Oryzias latipes: one gene and its partner. Each later gene encodes a partner of the first gene's protein in a complex. Links are inferred from orthologs where the notes say so. Each region holds a gene or a part of one and is shown on either strand. Other genes may lie near its edges.

Region 1 (8,032 bases):
AACACTGATGCCAACTTCTAACCATCAGCAGCGCTGTGGGATTCATAGTCTAACACCCTTCAACATACGGGAAAGTTAGACAGGAGCCAAACCTGTGGGCTTTCCAATTAAGATGTTGACCGCTCTGCCTGACCGCTCTGCCACGACGGCAGAGGTTTCAGGAAGTGAGAAGCAGAAATCTTCAGATAATTATTTCGTTTGTTGTTTTGAGTTATACAAATCCCAGGAAATGGGTTAAGCAAACCCACTCGATCATCTTTTGATCTCCTGAAGGATTGTTCCTGGTGCTCTTTTAATTACGATTATGCCATTTTTAGCTAAAATCGATGTTGTTTTTATCAGGACAGTTTCTGCAGAGTGGCAGTAATTCCTTAAAAAATTCGCCTCCGAGGTATGGGCGAGAACCGTTGCTACGGAGCAACCCCACCCCCTTTCCCTTCCACCGTTGCTTTTTGGGTAAAATGTGGAAGCTAAAATCTCCATATCTCTTCTTAGGGATTGCAAACAGTTACAGCACATATATGTTAGTTCTCCATTATCTCTATGCACACCTGGGTGTGAGCAGGTCGGGGAGGGCCCGGTACTCGTTTCTGCTCCTGATTCACAACAATTTGAATTAAAAAAATTCTCAAAAATGTAGGTATGGGCTTAATTTTCTTTATGAGTTCTCCATTATCAGTAAAAAAATCTCACAAGAACACCAAAAAAAACCCAAATTTCATCATACTGGGTATTTAACAAAGAATAGTGTGGAAGACCCGGACAGATACAAGAGTCTCGTCTTCATTCTGGTCACACACTCTTATAGGGGAGCGGTATCCCGACCTTTAACCTTCATAAATCCGACCACACACATTGACCCCCTGGTTTTGTCATTCCATTCTCTCTGCTCCCAGTATTTTTTTTCTTCTGAGGCAAACCTGACGGCTCACAAGTTGAGACATTTGTTTAAATCAACCAGACATTGTTAAAAAAAAATGTTTTAAACAAAGGAATGCTGAAAGTCCCTACAAGTTGTTTTAAAGCATTTAGACACAGTTTTTCAACACCATCTCGAAATTTTAAGACTTGCAAAAAGGGAGTTTTTTTGTATTTGTCAGAAAAGTTCCCAAAACACTATTTCTGCTACTTGTCCTATTCTTATCCTGATTTACGTGATCAAAAATATTTGGATCGTTGTTTGTTCCTTTTAGCATCAAGCCAAAGCATCTTCCTGGAAGATGCGTCCACGAACTGCACTTCCAAACAGTTTGTGCCCATGATGTGCCAGACGGAGTTTAAACAGCGGGATTCAGACTCGTTTCGTGACCTGAGATCTTCACGGAAGTGACCCTTGAACTCTGTAACCATACCCAGATGTTTCCAGCTGATGTTCAAAACACATTTAGGTATTTCGCTTAGGAATCCTTGGGAATCTGGAAGCAAAGGGTGAAGCCAAGTTTAAAGAGGTGATGTACAAAATGTGGCTACAGCAGCACATTTGGAGTTTCCTCCACATTTCTAGTTTTTGATCTCAAGGTAATGACATCCCTTAAAAAAAATAAAAAAAAAATAAAAAGGAGGACCATCTTCGAACCATTGAAGCCCACTCCAATCACCAGAGATACCACCGGGTACCAAGAAGAGACAGTTCGGTGACGATGCCAGTCCCTGTCGAGCGATCCGCTGTACACCCACCACAAGACTTTTCCAAAGACATGTTTGGGCATTTTCCAGGAAAAAAACAACCAAGGGACGTTGCTGACAGTGTACAACTGCCTACATGTGTCTTTGCCTGTCAGAAAACAGGAAATGGTTTGGGAATTACCGTAGTACCTGACTTGTTTAGTGGTTAGTGGTTGGCGCTCTTGCCTCACAGCAAGAAGGCCCCCGGTTCAAGTCCCAGCTGGGCGACCTGAACCACAACATCAATGGGGGACCTTTGTGTGTGGAGTTTGCATGCTCTCAAGTTTGCATGCAAGGGTTTTCTGCAAGGATTCTGACTTTCTCTCACCATCCAAAGAAATGCTTCATAGGATAAATGGTTACTCTAAATTGCCCTAAGGTGTGAATCTGAGTGTGCATGTGTGTGTGATTTGTGGCCCTGGGACAGAATGGCGACCTGTCCAGGATGTCTCCTTCCTTCACCCACGGGTGGTCGGGATAGGCTCCAGCAGCCCTGTGACGCTATCATGGGACAAAATGGTTTTAGAAAATGAATGAATTGTTTAAAAAAAACAAGAGTTTTGTTAGGTTAGAACTTTGTATATAAATGCAGTTTGGCAATACATTTAATAAAATATGCAAAAAATATATATGTGTTTTGTTTTTTTTACTGTCAGATGATATTGGTATATATTTTTACAGACTATAGAAATAAGAAAGCTTAACTATAAATGTGTCCAAAGTGATTTTAAATCGTACTCTTGTTGAGACATAGTGGGAGAAGCTACCCCTTAAAATCAGGACAATCAGATTATCATAATAACTCTGAAACATGTTGAAGCAAAGTCTTACAGTTCTTTGGTAATCACCTTCATCATCACCATCTTCTGTGCAATACAACTTTTTTTTCAGCCTTGTATCAAGAATTCATCCAGTTTTTTTAATTATTATTTTAGCTAAAAATAGGCATATGTGTACAGTTGCTAGAATAAAGATCATCAAATAGCAAGAGAAAGAAAAGGAATCAATATATTTAACGAAGACAAATGTTTATTGTCTCTAAACAACAGTAAATATAATTTGTGTGTGTAATGCTACGTACACACCATGTGATGCGTGTTCAAGATCGCACTTTTAGCATTAGGAGGGTGTTCACTCTGGACTGTCCCTACCTGTTACTAGCGCATGTACTCACAGTTGTCCCAGTGTAACTTCTGACATTTCACGCAATGAACGTGAATCGAAGAAGCGCGACTTTTAGTGCACAACCGTGCAAAGCTGCTTCTATCTGCGACAGAATCAGCGTATTTACGTTGATGGCGTAACAAAAATGGCGAGCGGTATTGAAGCTATCCAGCTGTACAGTTTTGAACCAGCTCAGATGAAGAAAATGAAAATGTACATGGATGTAGACGACTACACGTGGCTGCATTAGAATATTGTGGCCTGCGTTGTAGGTGCTACGTCACATCTACAAGCTATTTCATACTGCACGTTTTTCGTCCGGTCCTGATTCACAACGATTTGAGAAAAGAAATACTTAAATGTTAAGCATAATTTTCCTAATATATGTCCTCCGTCATGAAAAGAAATGCTACAAAAACGTGTTAAAAACACCCCCAGATTATTTTTCTCATTGGAGTGGGTCTTTGATATGAAAATCTTTGAGGTAAACCTGATTCTGAGAATCACCCAGATAGAAATATGTTCATTTTTCTGGGGAGTAAATTGGCTTCCTTCCAGAATCCACTGACTGATCGTGGTCCAACCTGTTGATAAGTGGATGCGCAAAGCCCGGTAAGAACGCGCCGTCCGGATGAGGGCCACTGCGGCGGCGCACAGATGTTTTGGGGGGACCGACCGGCGCGGCTGCGCACTGCGTCTTCAGGCGCCGATAAATTCGGGCAATCAGCTGTCGCTGTCCGGTGACGGAAGTGCTGAAATCAGAGCGCCCCCCATCTGATCTTCCTCCTCCCTCCGTCACCATCTCCGCCGCCGGTCGCCACTTGCAGCCATTTTACGCAAACATGTCGTGAGCGCGCCTCGCTCCGTCACCTGGAAGGGGGCGGAGGTGGAGAGCCAGCAGCTGATCGCTCCCTAAAGGTGGTGGTGGTGGAGGTGGAGGGGGGGTGAGCGCAGAGACGGAGCCGTCAGGTCCGGGCCAAAATGGTGAAGAGGAAGAGCCTGGATGAGAACGAGCCGGAGTGCGGGAAGGGGATCCCGTTCGCCATCCAGACTTTCCTGTGGAGCCAGACCAGGTCGGTGCTCTGATACATAACAGGTGTTTGTCGTCGCTGCCGCAGCTCTCAGGGCTAAATCCGACCAAACGGAGGGGGAAGCTGGCCAGTTCTGAATGAGAAGCAGATGATGTCACACTTGTCTTTTACCTGATCCCTTCCTTTTCTTTCTTTCTTTTCCCAGCGCTTTCCTGCGTCCAAAGTTGGGGAAACAATATGAGGCATCATGTGTGGTGAGTCATTTCCTGATGTGGATCAACATAATCCACTAATCTCTTTTACCTCTGCGCACCTGCAGGGCATTTTTTAAATGATTTTTTCACATTTACCAAATGGATTTCCCCTCCTGGAAACTCATATCCATAATGGCACATCTTCTAGATCGTATCCTGTAGTGCTGTAGGCTTTTACCCACTTTGGCACCATGTGGGACATTAAGCACGTTCTGTCTAATCCCTGTCACCTGAATTCTTTTTTTTTTTTTTTCCACCCTCGCCAGTCTTTCGAGCGGGTGCTGGTGGAGAACAAGCTGCACGGACTTTCCCGGGAGCTGTCCGAAGCCATCCAGAGCATCTCCCGCTGGGAGCTGGTTCAGGCGGCGCTGCCCCATGTCCTCCACTGCACCTCCATCCTGCTGTCAAACAGGAACAAACTGGGTGAGGAGGCGTGAGCGCCGTTATCTGGGTCGTCTGTTTGCAGAAGAGTCCTGATCCTCCACTGGGTACCGGCTGATCAGATTACAGAAAGACAAACATGTTTGAAAAGACGTGTGTTTCCCACAGTGAAGGGCTACAAATGAGATGAAAAGATACAGAAAAAAAGTCTAACAACACCTTGAACGTACAAGAACAAACCTCTGATTGAAGCTGCATCAATGCATGAATCAGACTTACGGATAATGTTGCCATGGCAACAAAATCCAAGATCTCTTTTTGTCAAATAATTTAACGAACTGCCTGTTGTTGACAGGAATGTTGTACATTGGAGCTTTATGGCCGTGTCACACAGACACTAGGTACATTTTGCACATATTGCATGGATAAAAATTGGTAATACGCGAATATGCGTGAAAAACGGGAGAAAAATTGTTTTTTTTACGTAAAATTATCACAGATGTGTCACTAATCAAACAAGCTAAAACCCAAAATATGTACGAATAAATCACGCAAAGAACAACGTAGAACATGAACCGAGCCAGCTTGTATATGCAACTCATTCGTGATTTTTTTTTAGCGATTGCATAATTTTAACGTTAAATGTCCGCCGTATACTCGATATAAAAGTTATTCATTAGTGGTCCATGCTAAAAATCACACAAAATTGCGTAATATGTACGTAATAATAACGTAAAAACTACGTAAAACACGCGTAATTCTTAACTGACCAAAAACTTTGAACAGCTCAAAACCGAACTCACGTGAAGTCCCGTCGGCTAGAAACCTTCGACGGACATCTGAGCACATCGATAAATGGCGAGCGCAAGACACACTTATGAATTATGTATATCACACATGTATCACGAAAAACTGAAATTTTACATGTGGAAAATCCACAAAATGTACGTAGCAGCAGCGCTGGGGGCGTCATCCTTTAGCTCTAGTGTTGACATTCCTTTGACTACGTGACTCTTCAAGCATTTAGGCAATTAATGTTGCTCCAGCAGATTCCAGACACTCTGCAGTAGCGAAGTGCTTACGCAATTAACGTACATCGACGTAAGCAGCTTTGCACTTTTATGCACGAAAAGTCGCATTTCTCCAAGTGAGAATGTGATTCACGCTGATCGTGTAAACGGTCAAAGAGTACGTGTTATTTCGTTGTCACCAGCAACATCTTCAGCGTTGAATAGTTAAGTTTAGGTTCCACCAAGAGCTTCTCAGAAATGCCCAAATTCAAATTTCTACAAAAGTACAAAAGAATTCCTGAAATGATTTTTTGAATGTCACTCCATTTTTTGTGGATCTTTGAGATGAATCCACATATACCAGTGCCAAATAAAAATTATTATTGAAAAAACAAACATGGTTCAAAATTTCGCGTTTTGCCATGGTTACTACAAGTTCTATACGATTTTATTTTATATATATTTTTTTGCTTAAGGAATTGGTCGCACACTTGATGAACGCAGTCTCTCATAAAAATATTTATGACTAACATTTAAAGTCCCACACAGACACCTTTTTTCCACACGAGGTTGCCATGGCAACACACCTGGATGTGGAAATGTGTGATAAGTCCAACAACCCCTTTGGTATAATGAAGCTTGAATTACCATCCAAAGGTTAGCTCGATGTTTAGAGCAGAAAAAAAGGGACAAATGCACTTGTGGGTGCTTTCAAAGCTCAGAGGAAAAACATATCTAACCTCCAACAGGCCACCAGGACAAGCTGGGCGTGGCTGAGACCAAACTGCTTCACACTCTGCACTGGATGCTGCTGGACGCCGCGCAGGAGTGCAACCATGAACCCAGCCTGGGCCACGGCTGGTCCGGAGGCGGCAGCGGAAGCAGCGCGTTCCTCCAACCAGTTGGGGACCAGGGATCCTCGCCGGGGGCTCCGGGCTCCAGCCCGGGCTCGGCTTTGATCGGGTCGGGACCTCTCCACGGCAGCTCTCTTCAGGAGGAGGACGAAAACGCCCGTGCCAAGCTCTTCCACAAGAGCATGGCCACCGTGGAGCTGTTTGTCTTCCTGTTGGCGCCGCTCATCCATCGCATTAAGGTTCAAACATACAGCCGACATCTGAACTTTTGTTTTTATTGTCAATTTGCCTGATAAACATGAGCAGGCAGGGGTGGATTTTGTTTATTTGGGGCCCGGGGCTGATTCAATTGGGGGGGGCTTTGTTGTTGTTGTTTTTTTTTACTATTTACTGCATATCAAAAACCTTTTTTTTTAAATCAATTGTGCCTTTGAACCAAAATAGAGCTAGCGAGGCAAACATAAAATATTTGAGGAATTTGTCCTTTTTCGAAAACTTTAATTTAAGCTTCTTTAACTCTAAAGCTACACTAAATCTGCTTTCTTGCTGGTGCGTTTAGCCCATTATGCTCACACTGGACAAGCAGGGAGCAGCTTCTTCTTCTTTTAATACTACTTTCTAGCGCATGTCCACCACCGACAGTTGGAGGAGGCTTGGTGCCAAATGTTGAAGCTGTACAAATCTTGTGATTCTTGCTCCAGGCTTTTTCCTTCACAGCTCTATTCATGAAAGACTAGATGTCATATGATTCCAACCACACACAAAATGTAAAGATTCATGTCTCCTCCATGATAAGTTATCAAACATTTGGCATGTCTTCCATTAATTAAAGGGGACGTCGTCTATTCGCCACCAACAAACCCGATTGCTCAAAGTTTAGCTTGCAACATGGTTCAATGGACATTCGTTTCGTACGTAGAGCCCGAAAACGGCCGTAGAAACCTGCGTAGCCTTGTGGGAAGTTTTGAACACGGTAGCCCAAAACTTGTTAACAAGCGGCTACTTGAGCGCGCTTCGCCGAGGGTGATGTGAACCTTAGCAGGACGGGGCCTCCTGAGCGTTTTCTTCTATTACACAATTTGCTCTAATAATTTATGTCAATGACAGTTTTTTGAGGCATTGCTTGGAATCCATGTGTCTTGTACGAACCCAACTTCATTTTTTAACTGAGCATTTTCGATGTATTACACAGTAATTTCACAATGAACCTGAAACTGGGTAAGAAAATCAATCCCAAGTAGTTATTTTTATAGCAAACATTTAAAGATCAAGCATGTAGAGACAAAAATAAAAAATAAAAAGTATAAAATCCAAAATCCTAGCAAAGATGAAAAATGAGGTGAAGTTCCACTAAACTATATACAATATTCCAATGATTTATTGAGTTTATGTCAAAAATCCAGTTGGGTATGTTTAACACCCAAAAAAAAAAGAATAAAAGCCATAATAATGGGGAGGGGGGGTAGTTGAAGTTATTTCGAAGTGAAATGCCGATGTGATAGGTAAATGTCTAGATAATTTACACTGATGTGTTTTTATGTCTTCTAGGAGTCGGATCTGACTTTCCGATTGGCGAGCGGCCTGGTAATATGGCAGCCGATGTGGGAGCACCGTCAGCCGGACATTCCCGCCTTCACGGCTCTCATCAAGCCCGTCAGACACATCGTAACAGG
Region 2 (7,917 bases), on another chromosome or scaffold:
AGACCAACAACTTTAGGGACAATAATCCCCCAAACAGCAACATGTAGGTCAATCTGTTAAGTAAAATTTCACATTCATTTGTGACTTTATGAAATTCACTTCAATCGAAAGGGAAAATAAATAGGCATCGCTTCCCCTGAAACATGTAGAAGGAAATCGATCATTTGCAGGGGCTTCGTTAGCTTCTCACTGAGCTATTGTTGCTTTCCGGGCTACCGGTGGGATGTCGCTGATAAACCGAAACCGTGCTAAAAAAAAGTGTTTATGAAAGACAAAACACCAGAGTAACATTTTCTGCATCTGATAAGACTATATATTACTCTCTAAACCGGAGAGACGAATAGCAAAGTCATGGACAGCGCTACCCTGCAATTAGTAGCATATCCTCAGAGGCTAGGGTTAGCTATCCGATTCCGTGTCGCTTTGACTTTACCCTTCGGAAACAGCGTTTTAATTCGATCAGGATCCAAAGCAACTGTTGCAAAGAGGGCACTGCAATACGTTCACCAAAAAATTGACGCGCTTTAAATGGATTGTTAGTCTCCATACCTTATTTAGTTCTTCCATCCAACTTGTCTCAGGCAGAAAAAGAGAAAAAAAAATGCAGCTCAACACCTTCTTTTCCCAACTCTGCTCATTACGCACGCTTCGACGTCAACGTCCGCATTAAAGCCACAATATGTAATCATTTCCACTTGAAATGAGTTTCCGGTGTTATTCTGGTGGTTTTTTTCTTCCCAAAAAGCAAACCGAATGTGGGTTTATTCTCGGTTCAGTTAGGTATTTCCCCCATAGTGGCTCAACGCCTTGTTGGATGATTATTATGGCCTATCCCAAAGCTACTAATTCGAGAATAGCAGAAACGCTACTTGAGTTTCCTGTTACAAATTTCAAAATAAAACGATTTTATGTTCTTAACAAATGTTTTCTTTTAACAATATCTTCTCTTTACCTCATATGCTGATTCAAAGCAAAATGAATGTAAACTCTTTCCTACCGTAAAATAAAGGAAAAAAATCCCATCTAACAATTTTGTTTTTTCTATAGTTTTCTGCTTCAATTGTGAAACCGGAATAACAGTCCTACTGTAACTTCCGGTGGCTTGAAAAGTCAGACGTACGCTGACGGTCGAAGAGGCCTTTTTATACCTGGAAGACTCTGCAATGATCAAGCGCCCCCTAGTGAACAATTGACGGCGATGTGAGTGGTTTTCTACCCTGAGGTTTACCTTTGGTTGGATCAAGTTCCTTTAGTATCCTGATGAGGGCGTCTGGATACATAAAATTGGTGTCTGTTGTTGGAAAGGCTTAGAAATAATATTATCAAAACATACAGAAAAACGGAAATGTTACAAATGTTATAATCTAAAACCTCAAATAGGTTGCCTCACAAAAAACAGTCAGTTACCACAAATTATTTGTCCTGTAAAAGAATTTCTTTAAAAGTGCACAATTAGGAGCAATAAGTTGCTATAGCCAATCAAGTAGCTTTAATTTTAATATTATATGTCTTCATATCTCACATCTATTTAATAAATTTCATATTAAATTCATGATTAATAACTATAAATTTTTGAATAATATTTTCCACTTCAGAACAAGCTAAACCATTTATGACAATGTTTTATAGTTAGGACCGTTCATTTTCTGTTTTCTTTTTATTGTTATTGTTTTCCAAGATACAAAGACTATTTAGAAAATCTTATTGGAATACTTTACTGTACATAAGTTTATTGTCTTGTGTGTCCTTCATTAGATGTTTTTTTTTGATAAATTCAGTTTTATGATGCTTCCTGAAGCTTTTGTTTAATGACCAGATGATTATATTCTCCCCTTCCTTTTATACTGTATACTACATATGTAAACAAAACTGAGCTTCAGGCTTATAACAGTCCTTGGTTTATATAATTCTCCAAATTCATTTAACTTTAATCCTTAACTGGACAGTGACAATGGCTCTATCCCAAAGACAACTCACTGTGTTTACTTAAGTATGTTTATCACTTGAAGGCAACTCCTCCCAGGAAGCATGATGGGAAGTATTTAAAGTAGATGTCATCTGCTTGGATCTCTGAAGCTGTGTGGAGGAACATCCTCTTTAGCTGAACACTAAGTGTTTGACTTGAAGCAAGGAGGATGATCTCTACCTTCAAGAGACCATCACTGACTGGACTGCTGCTGATAAAAGCCATTCAACAAACCCACACATCAAGAATCTACAGCAAGCCACCAAAAGATAAGATTGGACCAATGGTAGGACTGCTTAGTTTTGATAACATGATGAAGATTTGACCATTGTAATGTGATAATTATAACACCTTACAAAGAGGTTGAATGCAGCTAATATCTAAAAATTGCAACATTCATATCAATTTATCCTATAAAACATCACTATCAATTATTTATTTCCTCAAAGGTCTGTATCTTTAAAGCTACACTTCGATGAAGGTAACCAGAGGAATCAAAGCGTACATTCCTTCAAGGCCAGCAAAGTAGAGAACATGTTTTATTAATTCTGTGTACATATGTCAGTTTCAGAATCTGGCCTCTGAAAAAGAATGCTATGATGAAACTGCAACAGACCAAGCCGGCATTTATGCTGCTATAAATCTGCTGATCTGTCCTCGGGGACAATCAGAAGGTTTTTTACAAATGGCATCTGAAATTAGGAATCCCAGAGTGGAAAGAGACACATTGATGGACCGCGGCAAGAAAAACATGTAAAAGCTTTCAACACTGTGTAGTGAAAGCAGATGTTCAACTTTTTTTATAGGGTGAAAAATGTGGACGACATAACAAAGTAAATTATTCTGGTTTACTTTTTTTCTGTGTTCCAGAAAGCAAACTTTTAAAAAGGATGACTCCTGTTCTTTTGCAATTTTTCTACAGCAATCTGTCTTTGCCCTGTGCGTGTTTGCTGTGACTCTCCTTGCCCCAGCTGGATGGATCATGCATCACGTTCCAGAGTACCGACAGAGAACACCTCCACATCCATGACAGCTGAGAGAACTCTGCATTTGGAATGACCCCCAAGTTTGTGCAGCTTTTAAGACAAGATGCCACTTTGGAACTAAAAGATGACGGAGCGTTTGATACATATTCTTTGCAATACCTGGTCAATAATGTACTGTTTTAAATAAAGAAAAATGTATTTTTAGTTTTTTTTTTTGCAGCTACAAATACACATCAATAAATCCCTTGTACAACACACGAAAACCTCCAAGTTGGGTTGCTTTTAACTTGAGAGTTGAAAAGGAACATACTCTTTTCTGGGTTGGGTTAAAATGAAACCACTATGAAAAAAAATGTGTTGATCTAAAAAAAACATCCCAAAAACCTATGCAAACATAAATATTTCAAGAACTGGGTTGGGTGAAATGAGAAATATTCTTGATTTTTAGAATATTTTTGTTGCTGCATTTTGTATCCCATGTTTTATGGTGCCCACATTACTAATGACGTTTTTTTTAAATTGCTCATGGGGACTGATAATGGAACAATAGGTTATGAATCAAGGCTGATTTATAGAAAAACTAAATTAAGGTATTTATTATGGGGCTCACCTTAGGAAAGTATAAAAACACTTGCAAGTACATTAGTGTATTTTGTCCAAGACATGAACTGTGTGACAACCATCTGTTGCACGTTTTATATGCATCTTTTACATGCAGCAGATGCACAGGGATACGGAGGCAAACGCACAGTGTTTTTGCTCTGCTTCAGATAAGGAATCGTTTCTTGCAAATTTTGAATGACAATTTGTCAAAGCTGGATCAGTCCATTTGGAAAGGTGTGACAGAAATATGACATATAGTTGATTTTTTTTTCTGTGCGTCAAAGAGATGTAATTGTCGAGTTTAAAAATAGGATTCAACAAGGGGTTTGTCCGTGAATGGCATTTAAAAACGAGCAGGAAAACGACGCCAACCGCAACAAGATCCGTTCCGCCGAGTGGTACAATCAAGCCGTGCCTAGTCTGGCTGCAAGGAGGTATTTCCACTTTTTCGCTTCTGAGGAACGTCGGAGAAAGAGGGTGGAAGAAAAAGCTGGGAAATCAATTGACAGTCTTGGTTTTATGTCTCTCCAAGTGTCTGCAAAATGTCTACCAAGGCAGAGCAGTGTAAGTACGGCTTTTTGTGTGTGTTTTTCCTGTTTTCTTTGCGAAAGCGCTCGGTGGAAGCGGGAAACGTGGATTTTTGTTATGTTTTTGCTCCCTTCTCTTTTTGTCATGAGCAAGAACGCGAAAAAAACGGGGAGCTGTCCTTGGTGATGAAATCGCGGTTGCCAAGGCAGGTTGCAACACGTCCTCTCACTGCGGCTGGAGGTTTCAGTGCGCAGAGACAGCCACTGTTTCTGCCTTTTTAGGCTATGGGTGGAAAAAGAAATGCGCTATCCTTTTTTTGGAATGAAAATGAGACCTGTTATAATTGCTGTAATTCTTTTTGTTTTTGATTGACGTGACTGGGGAATGGAGGGCAAAATCGGGATGGTCTCAAGGTCGACTTGATTGTATGTAAGACCGTAAGACTTGATTAGAATTTAAATATGTTCCAACCCCCCCCCCCTCTTTTTATCATTTATTTTATTGCTTTAAAAATGGGTGTCCCCACACACCTCCATTTACTTAGACATCAGAATTTCAAAATACATAACCAAAGATGTCTATTTGCATTGAAAAATGAGGCACTTGTGCTGTGTGGCCGCCTAAACTCAAGCCACAGTTTGCTTTACAGGTCAGACTGGAAGCTAAACATCAAAGTCACTGAATATGGGTCATGTGTTCCCCACATCAGCTTTTTTTGAAGTCTTAATTAGCCATTGCAAAAGTGACATCTGACACAACATGGAGCTAGTTCAACAGGAAGGGGCCAGCTGGTCTCGGTGCTGCTGCATGTTTGAAGGCAGGGAAGCCCCTCTCATGCTCAAGCTGAGCACATTCTTTTCAGTTTGTCTTGGGACTTGAACTGACAACCTTTTGTTCATAAGTGTATTTCTGTAAGCAATAGGTTACTGTCTCCTCTGAGGCTTCCTGTGACTTAACTGCTGCACCATAAAGGTCACCTGGTTAAGGCCAGAGAGCCATGGGAACATGGACTCTTTGTTTAACTTGATAATTAAAACACTCATGTTCTATATATACGGCGGAGCGACACACTTGGGTCGCAGCCAAGCAACAGGAGAAACACACAGTGTTTTTATTTGTGCTCTTGCGCAGCTGCATATATTCTGCTAAGAACAGGATTTGCTACCGTGTTGATTTGCTTTGTTTGATCTACTCTGCTCTTTATTTTGTCTAGTTGCCTCTAAGATACGATACTTGCAAGAGTATCACAACCGTGTGCAACACAATATTTATCCTGTGCCCTCCGGAACAGACATTGCAAACACACTGAAATACTTTTCCCAAACGCTGCTCAGGTAAGTAACCCGTTCCAGAGTCATCAGATGAATTCACAGACTTAGCTAAACACCTATAGCTTCCTTCACCAGCAGATGAGACTACTCACACCAGGTTATCTCTGCACATTTTTCCAAAATAAAAGCCTCAAGATTAAATGTTCTGATAGAAAATTAATGCTAAATATGAGTTACCATGCCTGTTCTGCTGTATTGGTGTTATGGTGTTGTTCTGAAGCATAAGTAAAGACGGATAGGTCCGTGATGGTTATTGATTCAGCGGCCAGTTGCTAGATGAATGCCTCCCTTGGGCAATCTGCTTCCATGTCCTTTCCTGCGGGGCTGGCTTCTCCAGCTTTGCAGCCGCAGGGTCAGCCTGCTCTCTTGGGTTATCTGAAAGCTCGAAGAAGGAAAGGAATGTTTTTTTCTACAACAGGTCAAGAAGGCAGACATTTTAGACACGTCCTATTCTTTAAAATGATGTTAAACTAATGAAGAGATATTTTGGTATTGCGCTGTTATTTTTTTTAGCAATTTTTTGCGAAAGTAGCACTAGTTTAATCATTTTGGGAACAATCTATTAGAGATTGGCAGCTGGCCTAGATTTGGTGCTTTATTCCTCAGCTTCGAAAGGATTATTTATCTGCTGCAGGGTATCTGGATACTTCCTACATTGGTGAGGGGCTGCCAAGCACCAGCAATCACTGTGCTGTTAAAAACATGGCCTCTCACGGCACTGATTGAGCGTGACAAGGGCTGCATCTGTGGGAATCAGTGTGAACTCAAGTAACGATTTTGTCTCTGAGGGAAAGAATTCTCAGACTAAGATGAGAATCACTCAGCAGGAGTCCGCTCTCACCACAGCCTCAATATTTTCCCAAAGCCCAACCTCTTAGCATAAGATATGCAGGGAAAATCACTCTGCCTGCCATTAGAACAACGTTGTTTCCTCAGCAGGGACTCTGAGATTATTCTTGCACCTGTGCCTCCTAAGGCACTGAGTGAAGGAAAACATGGTAAGAAAGACAGAGTTAGAAGTAGTGAGCCTTGAAAAGTGGAGCAGGCATGTGTCATTTTATTTTATTTTTTTTCCGGACAGATGAGTGGTCAGTTGAGGTTGTTGATTCATGCACTGTTGGTTAGAAGATTAGAAAAAGAAGGCTGCAAAGCAAAAATAGTTGATCTGTTTCCTAAGTGCCTCATTCACAACAAAATGGGAAACTGTAGTGCATAATTATTTGGAGAAAAGTTTAGCAATTGACCATACACATATTCCACAATTTAAGTCATGCACACAGTTGACAGGGCAGGGTTTGACAGTAAATGTACGTCATATGTCTGTGCATTTCTACATGTGTTACTTGTCATATGCAAATGTTTGTGTGTGTATGTGTTTGCGTGCACATATGTGTGTTTTTTGAATGTCTAGCGTACGTGTGTGAGCGGGTCTGTTTTTGTCTATGTTCATTGTTCAAATTGAAGATGTTGTCTCTATTATAAACAGGCGGTGAAAAAGTCATACTCTGAGGTATAGTCTGCTTTTGCGACTTAGTCCTTTAATGAGTTTTATAACAAACCGTCGCTGACTAAAATCTTAGAGTATCACTTTGAGGGGATCGGTCACATGTTGTAATACTATGTTCTGGTGCTCAACATTATTCATCCAACACCATGTCGAACAATTTCAATGCAATCCCCTTTCTCACTTGCCTTGGAGCTCCAAATGTAATTTTTGAGTGTTCTTTAAAAAAAAGACAACTGTAGTAGATATTTATCTATAATCTGGGCTCTCATGATAAATCACAACCATTTGCCTGATAGAACAGCTTAGCTCTTTGATAACCATGCAAAAAAAAAATAGAGCAATGCTCTCTGGCCCCTCCTTTCCCCTCTTCCTTCACCCTAGATGCTCCACACTCAACCCAACTAGTTTTTGCTTTTGTTTTTCCCTTTCTTAAAGTCCAATATGTCCACCACCTTCCCCAGGGGACAGCAAACACAATTGTCCATCCTGCATTAGCTCACAAACATGATACTTACCAGTCATCTCCCCTTTGATACAACCTATTCCTTTGTCATTCTAGTTTTTTCTCTACTGTAGATTAGTTGTTACATTTATTTTAGAAACCTGAATCCATATGCCTGTTGGATCTCATTATTTACTCCGATGATACTGGTGCAGTATCATAAAGTATGCATACGGACATTATTTCTCTGGTGCAATAAACATGTGCTGTGATCTAGGAGCTCTTGATCTAACCTCACACACATGTTTATTACAGGCTCAAGCATGTTTCAAAAGTGCCACCTCTGTATTTTCCCGAACCAATTTGGTGTCACTCCCATCCTTGACAGCCCCACTAAACGCAAAGAAATTTCACAGTAAATTGCATTTCATGGCTCATTGGGCTTTCTGCATAGCATCCAGTGACTTTGCTGATTGGAAGATGGCATTCACCGAGGGACAGTGCTTTCTTTGCTATTGTGTCCCTTCTGTTTTTGGAGAAGTATGGGGTTGCCA

The links.
Region 2: the proteins of unc80 (region 1) and unc79 are in contact, whole or in part, in a cryo-EM structure (PDB 7W7G), measured with the Mus musculus proteins. The link is inferred for Oryzias latipes from reciprocal best matches to the Homo sapiens genes UNC80 and UNC79. Residues at the interface, in NP_780719.2 of Mus musculus: Gln23, Thr24, Trp27, Ser31, Leu34, Arg35, Pro36, Ala80, Pro83, His84, His87, Ser94, Asn95, Asn180, Ala183, Leu187, Phe190, Leu191, Arg337, Leu340, Gln341, Pro342, His343, Arg1317, Asp1320, Glu1321, Asp1324, His1545, Val1546, Asp1547; in XP_030102533.1 of Mus musculus: Thr120, Tyr123, Ser127, Ala130, Thr131, Leu168, Ser169, Ser172, Met175, Ile176, Gln179, Tyr180, Tyr207, Tyr211, Gly212, Pro213, Ser214, Val390, Cys391, Glu394, Glu402, Phe405, Arg472, Cys541, Asp917, Phe920, Ser965, Glu966, Phe967, Ser968.

Annotation. Positions count from the first base shown.
Region 1 is NC_019860.2:15,018,135-15,026,166, forward strand, and holds the start of unc80 (protein unc-80 homolog), read left to right. Parts: upstream 1-2,727; 5' UTR 2,728-3,810; coding exon 3,811-3,902; intron 3,903-4,065; coding exon 4,066-4,114; intron 4,115-4,380; coding exon 4,381-4,537; intron 4,538-6,254; coding exon 6,255-6,598; intron 6,599-7,907; coding exon 7,908-8,031; intron 8,032-8,032. UniProt on the Homo sapiens protein: Auxiliary subunit of the NALCN sodium channel complex, a voltage-gated ion channel responsible for the resting Na(+) permeability that controls neuronal excitability.
Region 2 is NC_019880.2:12,387,310-12,395,226, forward strand, and holds the start of unc79 (protein unc-79 homolog), read left to right. Parts: upstream 1-3,677; 5' UTR 3,678-4,097; coding exon 4,098-4,119; intron 4,120-5,296; coding exon 5,297-5,417; intron 5,418-7,917. UniProt on the Homo sapiens protein: Auxiliary subunit of the NALCN sodium channel complex, a voltage-gated ion channel responsible for the resting Na(+) permeability that controls neuronal excitability.